Linked DNA regions of Xenopus tropicalis. Each later gene encodes a partner of the first gene's protein in a complex. Links are inferred from orthologs where the notes say so. Each region holds a gene or a part of one and is shown in the gene's direction. Other genes may lie near its edges.

What was found. The genes of interacting proteins can lie anywhere in the genome.
Region 2: the proteins of cnnm2 (region 1) and arl15 are in contact, whole or in part, in a crystal structure (PDB 8F6D), measured with the Homo sapiens proteins. The link is inferred for Xenopus tropicalis from reciprocal best matches to the Homo sapiens genes CNNM2 and ARL15. Residues at the interface, in NP_060119.3 of Homo sapiens: Asn490, Val492, Pro521, Leu522, His523, Phe524, Val525, Phe526, Thr529, Glu537, Lys542, Ser543, Gln549; in NP_061960.1 of Homo sapiens: Tyr92, Ser94, Arg95, Gln98, Gln128, His129, Pro130, Gln131, Cys133.

Annotation. Positions count from the first base shown.
Region 1 is NC_030683.2:28,756,517-28,762,495, reverse strand, and holds part of cnnm2 (metal transporter CNNM2 precursor), read left to right. Parts: intron 1-1,154; coding exon of another isoform or gene 1,155-1,157; coding exon 1,158-1,324; intron 1,325-1,617; coding exon 1,618-1,711; intron 1,712-5,979.
Region 2 is NC_030677.2:192,212,435-192,217,381, forward strand, and holds the end of arl15 (ADP-ribosylation factor-like protein 15), read left to right. Parts: intron 1-1,229; coding exon 1,230-1,382; 3' UTR 1,383-3,168; downstream 3,169-4,947.

The DNA of each region.
Region 1 (5,979 bases):
TCTTCCTGTTCTAGTTAGAACCTGCATTATTTCCTGTCAGGTGATAAGTGACACACAGAACACAAAATGGTGGATAATTTATGGTAATAGATGTAAAAGCTAAATACTAATCAGTATGTGTCCATTTGGGAAGATTCTTTAATAGGTCACATACTATGATAAAAATGATCTGCTGCTAAAGTAATCATTCTGAAGGTACCATGTTTTCTTTGTTAGTAGGCCTTTTAAAATCTTTTAATTAAGGGCATGTCCCTTAGCTTCCAAGCCCCAGATAAGTCAGAATCGCGAAAGATTTTTGCAATCATATTGCTAAGATAAGCCGAAGTATTGTTAAGTTGACCATATATTTTACACTTGTATGGCTACCTTGCCAAAAGAACAAATCTTTGCCTAATTTAGTCACCCACGTGCTGGTCCATATATGACTGATCCGATCATTTGCTGCTGGGACAAAGTTTGAATAGTACTTGTGACCTACAGAGACTCGCAGACCTTTAGGGCCTATGCACATCTACCAACTCTAGTTTGGGGAGTAACACACATGGACTAATAAAAGCTGCTGACTGAGGCCCTCCTAACTGAGTTGGTAGATGTGCATAGGCCCTAAAGGTCTGCGAGTATAACCCCCTTGCCTGCCCTGGAGTAACCGCAGGAAGAACACAACAGAGTACTTTTAGAACGTTAGCATGTTTTTTTGCATTCTCTTGAAACATCTGCTGTGTTTTGCTGTCTCCAATAAATCAAGGGGTTAGTTCATAATACAACCTTTCCTCCCTCTATTCCTAAATCTAGTTCAAGTTCATTCAAAGTTATAGCAGCCTGGTGTGTCTGTCTGTGTTATGGCATGTATTGGAGCTTCATATAATTGAATGTTCATGCACCTTCTAATGAATATATGTATATAATATACACACACATATACAGTATACTGTCAGTCAGTTATTTAGCTTAGACTGACAGAAGCACAGAAGTGAATCAGTAAAATAGAAGGTATGGGGCTACTGGGGACATCTTTAGAGGCACAGATCTTCCCTGCTAAAGCGCTGTAGTCACATTGTGCGATCATGTATAGGCTTTCTAGCCTTATTGGTGACACTGCACTACCACAGATATATTCCAGAGGGATAAACCCATGTGTGCTGTTTCCATTGTAGAAGTGGATGCATTTAGCCCCTCTCAGATGTCAGAGAAAATCCTGCTAAGGCTGCTGAAACATCCCAACGTTATCCAAGAGCTAAAGTTCGATGAACGGAACAAGAAGTCTGCTGAATACTACCTCTACCAGCGGAATAAGCCCGTGGACTACTTTGTTCTCGTTTTACAGGTCAGACCAGTTGCTGTCAAGCATATTCACGTGCTGTGCATCTTTCCCTTGCCCCACTGCCTGGTGTTGCCGTGTCTTTGCAGTGCACTTGGGTTTTGGGGAAAGTACTAGAAAGATTAGACATCCACTCTTAGCATTCCTACCCGTGGAACATGCACGTATATAACCCTTCAGGACTTAGAAGTAAAACTAGTTTGCTTTGCTCATATGATAATCGGTTTCTTAGCTAAGAAACCAGTTCTTTTCCAATACATTTATGAAATGCCACGTGTGTAATACATATTTATCCACAGGGGAAGGTAGAAGTGGAAGCGGGCAAGGAAGGCATGAAGTTCGAAGCAGGTGCATTTTCATACTATGGCGTAATGGCTCTCACTGCATCACCAGGTAGCTTAGCTTCTTATAGACTGTCTCTATCGCGCTCTCTCTTTCTCTATGTGAAGTTTGATGTTTGAGCCATAATGCTCAGTGCTTTCCAAAATATTCTCTCTTGTTCAGGAATCTCTTTACATGATATCCTGTACTTGCACAACAGTGGGATTTAATATGTGGCTAATTTGCAAATACAATGCTAAATAGTACTGTGCAATAAAAAGTCTTTATCTTCTTTTATTCTTTTAAACTTCTTTAAAGGACAAGGAAAAATAAACATGCTGAGGGGTAGCTCTAGGCCAAACCTTTCAAGGCAGGACCCAAATCACCACACCCCCTCTTGTCAACCTCCTTCCCACTAACAGCGCTCAATAAATCTCTCCTGTTTCCTCCCTACCCCACTATGTAACGAGCAGGGATTGGGTGCCAGGGTAGGAGCGGGGTTCCAGACAAGACAGAAGGGCTAGAAATTAGGGTTGGCACACAGAAGAGGTACACAGCAGTGCTGTTTTTCCTCTGGTCACAGTTGTCCCTTGTGGCAGAGTTGGTTGGGCAGATGCACAGGATAGTAATATGTGGAAGCCACACTGTGATGTGCATGCACTTACTCCAAGCTACTGCAGGGACACCTGGGTGGAGAGGAAAAATGGCTGCCAGACTCTACTGCAAAGTACCCTAAGCCAATTTGAAAGAACAGGTGCTCCCACACAGGCCAAAAACTTGGCAATTTTGCTCAGTTTAGCAATCCCCCCCCCGGTATGTTTAACTTCCTTATCCTTTAAATAATGCTTAATTATCGGTTCATACGCTATAGTTCACTTTGCTGTGTGTCTCCGTTGTCTTTCTCTCGTGTGACTTGACCTTTGATGCCTGGTTGAAATCCTCATCATAAAGGCTAACAGGGCGGCAATGTAACAGCAAGGTTATAGTCCCGTGCTGTCTCTGTGCCAGCTGAAATAGGACCATTGATAAATAACCATGGTATTGTACTTTATTATTTGTTTATTCATTATAATTCATATAGTATCAAGCTATTCTGCAGCACTTTACAGATATTATACATCATTCACTGCCTCAGTGGAGCTTACAGTCTAAGGTCCCAATCACATTCACACACTGGGGTTAGTATATAAAACCTGAATATACTATTGAACCAGGGGCAGTCTGAGCTATTCTGATACCTTTATCTGGCCAACTCTGTGCAGCCCTAAATTATTTGTGCTCTGAGAGTGCATGTGACTTCTCTTGTCAGCAGCTGGAGGCCTGTTTGAGCTTCGTGTCTGGGTTCTACATGTGCATCTTATGTTCTGATAATGTATTTACTTACTGCTGCATTTTTCAACCCTGGCCTCACTTTTAGAGACCCATTCTGATTATTAGAACCCTGTATATATAATAAATAATAATATACATTTATATAATATGTTTAAGCTAATGTCAATTTAGCATCACTCCTGAGTAGTGTATATGTATAAATAATAGAAACTATCCCATGTGTCAAACAGTACAGTAGAGGGACCAAATATTTGACACAACAACCTCTTCAAACATTCCATATACAAAAGGTAAAGGAAAATGCCATGGGCACAAACAGGTTAATCATTGTCGCTGGAATGTAATGTATAGCACATGACAAAACTTACAAATGCATTTTGTATAGATTACAAGACTTCTGTATGTGTCCACTGTTAATTATTAGTGATGCACCGAATCCAGGATTTGGTTCAGGATTTGGCCAAGATTCAGCCTTTGCAGCAGGATTCGGATTCAGACGAATCTATGCCTCTGGCCAGAATGAATCCTTAAAATCATGTGACTTTTTGTCACTTAAAGACGGGACATGGAAATGTATTTACTGCATGCTTTGTGCGCGGTTCTCTTTGACCCTTCCTTATTTTAATTTGCATGTTCAAATTAGGATCTGGTTCTGTATTCAGTTGACTCTTTCACAAAGTAATTGGGGTTTGGCTGGATCCTAAAATATTGTATTCGGTGCATCCCTATTAATTATATTTGTGCATATTAGCCAACCCTTACAAAGTATATCTTTTCCAGTACAGATATATTTTACCTGTACTGCTTATTTGCCAGCTTTGTTGTCCAGTAAAACTCCTATGCATTTGATAAAGGCATGACCCCTCAATAAAATAAATGGGATGAATGCTTAAATTAATGAAACATATTCCTTTTGCCTTTTGGAAGGTATAGTGGCAGCTTGTTAGTGCTTTGTAATTATTGATTCTGTTTGCTTATTCAGCCAGGCCAGCACACCGATTCCACTGAGAGGGCTATAGCAACATCTGCTGGCAGGCACGGGCATGGTTGTATAATGGCCCTAAGGGATTATAATCACTGGGGGATGTCTAACAAATTGGCACCCCTGGTGATTATTTCTTCCCTTCTCCTTTTATATTTGAAAGTGGCTTAGAATGACATGTTAAAAAAAAAAAAGTGCCCCCCCGCTCAGCATTTCTAGTATCTCTAGCAATTGTAAATAATGCGCTATACAGCAAGGGCAGGTAGATTGGCAGGAATGATTCCAGGCCACATATGTACATCCCTGTCTCACTCGCAATGTGTAAGATTACTGAACTGATTGGGTTTTTTACGATTAAAGGGGAACCTACCAATGAAGCATCTCACAGACCAGAGTAGTTGTTTCCTTTGTCTTTGTGGCTTTGAATTTTTTGCTTTTCACTCTTGCTTCTCTCTGCCCTGCACAATAAAATGTTGTCTGGTTGTTATGGTCACAGACAGATTTAGGGCTAGATTTAACATTGTTGTAATTTTTTATTGCTGTCTGTTCAGGCATCTCCTATGCACCTCCACGTATCTTTCCAACTACTGCCTAATTGTTAGTTGGAATGAAGGTCAGATACAGAAGTGACACTAGTTTCCCTCAGGGTGTCATGCTGAAACTCTGTCGCTAGAAATGCAGGAACACTGCACAACACACACCGCAATATACACCTGTATTCAACAAGTGTCCAAGAATAGGCCTTTAACACAAAAACAGAACAGTTATCTATATGTTACACTAAACAGTCTGTAACAGTAACATTTAAAGACCACTTTTATTTTACACACAAGTCTGCATTCTTGGTTTTTCATAGCAGTTGTAGAAGGAGAATAATGCGGTTATTGTATCACTCTTCCCAGTTAAACCATGTTTATAGTAAACTCCTCCTTATCTGTAAACTCCAGACACAGCCTTTAGAGTCATGTCACGTTGCATTTTCTCAACTTGAGTAGATATGCGGGTGGAAAAAACATTGCATTCTGTCACAGCTTCAATGTAGAAGACAGCAGATTTGACTTTAAATGAACATTGTTCTTCCTTCCTCTGTACCCTGCCACAGACTTTGTCCTTGTGTGCATCTCATTTCTTACCATTCTCGATACCATGTCTTGAAAACACAAGCTTATTAAGTTGGACCTTGGTAAAAAAACATATTAAAACATATTAAAAGCACTCCCTGAATAACCAGTGTATACGGGCTCATGTAGGAGCACAAGTGCAGCATGCCAGCTCTCGGTTCCCTGCGTCGGTAGATACACTGCATGTGATTTGTAAGAGGCGGCGGGATGGAACCAGTGATACAGAGCGCAACTATGTGGCAGTGTGCGGAGTGGCTTTATATGCAAGTACCTCAGTGCTGTATATTCGCACTACTGTGGTAATACAATATATCAGCATTATATTTATTCCTGTTCACTCACACATACTTGACTCCACCTATTGAGAGGAAAACATGATGGTCTGCCTCTCCCCGTTACATTGGTAGAATCACTGAACCATTTTTTGCTTTGTTCCATATTAAAGGATAACGATCCCCCAAACAGTGTAGGTCTTTATAAAAATATAAGGCATAAACAGCTCATATATAAGCCCTGCTTTACACAAATAAACCATTTCATACAAATATACTTTTTAAGTAATAAGGGCCACCTCCTGGAATCATAGGATTCACAGTGCACACAAACAAGCCAAGGCACACATACAGTTAGGTCCATAACTATTTGTACATTACCACAATGAATTTTAAATGAAACAACTCAGATGCAGTTGAAGTGCAGACTTTTAGCTTTAATTCAGTGGGGTGAACAAAACGATTGCATAAAATGTGAGGCCACTGAAGCATTTTTTTAACACACTCCCTTCATTCCAAGGACTCAAAAGTAATTCGAAAAATTAAATAACAGGAAATAAAATGTTCATTTATAATATTTGGTTGGAAAACCTTTGCTGGCAATGACAGCCTGAACTGTACATGCTAGGCCAC
Region 2 (4,947 bases), on another chromosome or scaffold:
TTATTTTTCATGCGCTTCCAACACATTGGGTTTGCACATGTTTTAATACCCATTCAAGAGGGGTATTTTCTTTGGAGGAAGCAGCAGGAGATTTGAGCACTACTTTTATTGTCTACATTGAAGACTGAAAGTAATTAAGCACGAGGACACCTATAGCGCTGAGTATCGCTCACAAACTTAGCTACAGTTATGCAGTTTTAAAACATGCAGGTTACTTATTCCATTCATGGCTCTAAGATTGGTAAAACCTTGGGGGAGACGGACCTAGATGTACTTGTAGATAATCTTAATAGTAGCATGCAATTAGTCTGCCGCAACTAGGGTTAGTAAGATATTGCCCCTAATTAAAAGGTGCTATAGATACATGGTTGGAGAGGTTAGTAAGATCTCAGGAAGGCTGGCCAAGTTGTGGTTGGTAGCTCTGGGAAAGAGGTCCCTAAGGAGTGATATGAAAATGGTCATTAAAAGAGATTACCTCCTCTATACACGAGAAACAACAGGAGTTCGATTTGTGCTGGCAGCCTTGGCTCTCTTATCTAAACTCCCATAACAGCCTATGACCATTATGGAATGTTTTGCCATGCCATACCGAGTTAATGCAACTTAATGCAATTTTATTATACTGTTACTTACCTTGAATCCCGTGTAGTTCCTCTTGGTTCTGCTTCTCCTCTTCTCCCCTCCTTCTTTCCTCCCCTCGGATCCTCTTGAGCATCGCCTTCATTACGGTTGCCTGTTCCTCTTCCTCCCCTCTTCTCCGGTTTTCCCTTCTTCTCCTTCTTATATAGCTAACTATCCATACTTAAGGTTATCTGATTATAAGTACATATTCCACGTTTATGAGACAACTGTGCTGTAACTAAATTGTGAGTAATTTAATAAAGATTTGTTGAAATAAAAAAAAAAAAAAAAAAAAAAGAAAATGGTCATTAAATGCGTTAGTATAATTTGGCTTACCCAATTAGGTAACTCAGTTGCCAAAGTATGCCAGTTGGGTAAGCACCAGCCATGCAAATTTCAGACTTTTAAAGCTAATGATTGGGTGGAGCCTATAAATGATTTAAATGAAGAACTTATGTTCTGTCGTGTCTGATGGGAAGGTGAAAAGAATACTATATAGAGATATCCCTTGTAAATCTGAGAACGGAGCAGCAGGATCAGTTTACCTGTAGTTATTGTTACGTGTTCCAAAATATTTATTTATACATTTGTATTTCTCTTTCTTTCAGATCAAGAAGTATTTTGAACTTGAACCACTTGCACGTGGGAAACGTTGGATTCTGCAGCCAACATCACTGGATAACATGGAGGCTGTGAAAGATAGCTTCTCAATGCTAATAAATTTATTAGATGAGCGAGAGCCAGAGCCAATTCAAATGTGAAGCTCTTGAAGGGGGACGTCGTCCATAGTGATCGCCGCGCTGGCTGCTGCTTCTTCTCCAACAGAAACTGAACTTGAGTGGAATTTCAATTGTGTGTCTTTGGGCCAAGCTGGAGTTTAGGTTGGAAAATCTGATATGAGCGCTTTGATTTTTATGCCTTACAGCTGTTTTACTTGGCGTTAAACCCAATAGGTAAATAAGGTCTGATGTTTACTTTGAGCAGCAATGCCACCTAGCCAGCCTCTGTTTCAGAGCTCATCCTCTAAGCGCAGCTTGTAGGGCAAATAGCTGTGTCTTTATTGGGTAAAAAAAGCTTTGGAGACCCGCTCCACTTCACATCTCAACCTGTACCAAATATTCTGCTGTGTATACTCCTGAGTAGCCTTGCCACATTTACAGTCTATAATACACATCTTTTATTCTTTAGTATGTGGCGGTGCCTAGGTGGATGGAAAACTTTATATTGGGGAGCCATTTTTCGTTTCTCTCCGTGTCTCTTCCTGGATCATGCTTCTCTCTACCCAAGTCATTTAGAAATCCATTTAGGTTGTTTAACCAGTCACTGAGTTCTTAACTAACCACTTTTTTTAACTTCTATTTCCCAAGCATCTGATCCATACTGAATGGAAATAAAGAGCTACATTACTTACCTTTGCTCAGCATTGGACTGGGCTGCTGGGGCAAAACCCTGGTGGGCCTCGGCGGCCCAGACCCAATCCCGACAGGGCACTCCACTGACCTGCCAGTCTCCCTCCCCTGACGCGGTGTAGGTAAATTTAATTTAAGCGCTCGGGCGAGGGATTTGGGCGGGTGTTGGGACGCCCCTGCTAGAGGGTGGGCGGAAGCCTCGGTTGGCCCTGCACCCCCCAGTCCGACCCTGCCTTTGCTGGCAGTCATATTCTACTACAGTGCAGAGACAGCAAGGTGCTTTTATGTACAAGGGGCCACATAAGGACATGGCTGCTCTATTTGCTAAAAAAAATAAATTAGAGCCATTCATTCATCTTTAACCCCCCCAATTCCTGTACTACTGAGCCCATTCTATGCCACTAGTCAGCTAATCATTTCCTTTCCCCTCTGCCGTCGTCTTTCCAACAAATGACATATCATATTGTATAGTACTGTTTTTATAGACCTGGTTTTATTGAGGGATACGGTAGCATTGAATTACCACATTTTACAAATTTTATTTTAGTTTTATTAGTATCTTTTTTTTTTTTCATTTATATATAAATGTCTGTAAATAACGAATTGCCCGCTTGGGGGAAATGTTAGTTGTAACCTTGTTGTTAGCCTTCCACGTGAGAGCTGGTGTTTTTCTCTACAATCCGTAACAATAGCGACAGTGTTAATAACAAGAAAAGAATGAATAAAATACATTTCTAAACTGACATTTGCCAATGTAAACAAAGTTTTTTTTATGCTAGATATTAAAAAAATTTCAAAAAGCACATTTTATGAATCTTAATGGAAAAAATATCTTGATGTATGCTCATGATCAATATGGGAAAGTGACCTCAATGGCTATCACTACAGAGTGTGTTAATATTAGTGTTTGACCCGCCTACATGGGGCCCACGTGTGCTCACTGTCACTGTGCAAACCTGGTTATTTTGTATTAAAAAAGAACAATTATTGCTGTATTTTCTTTCTAAACTGTGAACTTTAAATGGCATCAATGTTAAAAAAACACAGCTAATTATATAAAATAATATTGTTTTTTCAAAGTTCTATGAAGGTTTTTTGTGCTGTTTGTACCTAAAATAAAAGATAGAGTAAGTTTTTCTGAAATAAGTCCGTATTGTGCGTACTCTGCTCATACTGCTTAGCCAAACGCTCCTCCTCGTGTCTCTCATGGCTTATTGTCTAATGAAATAAGGAGACACTTTCCATGTCGTACTCTTAAATGGTTTTCAATTCTTTTTGCAAGTAGAATGTTTTGTATCATTTATTAAAGTGTATGTTATACAGATCTCTCTGCTGCCTATAAGGAAGGCTCTGCCACTTCTGGATGTTCTTTTGTTTATAAATGAATGTACAGGTATGGGATCTATTATGCTTGGGACCTATCATTTGTATTACCGTACCTTAAGGCTTCTAAGACCTTAAATCATCTAAACCTTAAATCAGGGGTCCTCAAACTATGCAGGCCGTGTACAGCCCCCCGCAGTCATTTACCCTTCTCCCTGCCCCTGCGCGTCACCTCGCGTAACCCCCTCCCCAATACTTACCACTCCCCGCTGGCTCTCAGGTAGGAGAGCACTATTTGCAATGGGTGGGGGACCTTCTGAAGATTTTTTTTGTGGCTTGGCCCAGCACTGAGTATTTATGGGCCACTGCCAGTGATAGGCCAGGAATAAAACTAGTAGTTTTTTCAAAACTATAGTCCAGCCCCCTAACAGTCTGAGGGGCCATGTACTGGCCCCCTGTTTAAAAAATTTGAGGACCCCTGCACTTAAATGGACCCAATAGGATTGGATAGCAATTTGGATTCATGTAGCTTAGTTAGGATACCATATTAGCTCTTATTATAAAAGAGAAAAAGGATATCATTTTTAAAAATTAGAATTATTTACCTAAAACAGATTCTATAAGAGATTCCCTTCCTATAATTCACAGCTTTGTTGATAATTGGTTTCCAGATAAGGGATCCCATGCCTGTATTTCAATCCTCAAGTTCTCATCTAAAAGCACACGTCAGTTAATGGTAAAAATATAAATGAAAAATATCCATAGCCAAAACTGATCAGTAGTGCTACTTCAATTTATAATGATGACATTTTTTAGTATCTTTATATAGAATCAGCATTTTTAGGAAAATTGTTTTTTTTTCCACAGCAGGTGACGCAGCCCCTTTAAATGGAGACTAAGGTATAAGGGCTTAGTTTATTGTGTATAGAGAATATAAATATAGTATATAGTATAGTAGTCAGCACAACAAGTCGGTAATATTTTCAGCATTGCACATTCACCAACGGCGGCCACTTTCCACTGCTGCTCAATAGGAAACTAGACTTGACCAGCACCGCAGTAATGAATCCATTGCACTGAGTTTGCAAAAAAGGCGTTTTAATGGATTAATTACTGTGGTGCTGTTCCAAGTTAAATATATATATATATATTTTGGGGCCATATTGCTTTCCTTACCTGAAAAATTCACACAGTAGCTGCCACATTATCCATTGCTGGGCACTAGATGGTGCTGTTGCTAAGACGTCTTCGGAATATACCTCAGTTGAGGAAATAAATATGGCAGCTTTTATTACATGATATAAAAACCAATAGGATTGTTCTGTAGACAAAAGAAATTAGGTTGTATATTAAGTATTAATATATTTCTTATCTATAAAGTGGAAATCAATTCCTAAAGTTTAGCAGTAGTATCTTTTTAATAAGCTATTTAACTTGCACAATGGCTTAACCATTTTGTTTCAATATTTTTTTTTTAATTAGGTTTTAATGTCAACCCACTGTTCCAAAAAAAGTTCCAATGAGCAGAAAATTCTTTTACATACAAGATCATTACACACAAAATAATGTTCTTAGGATATTGTGGGCCAATATT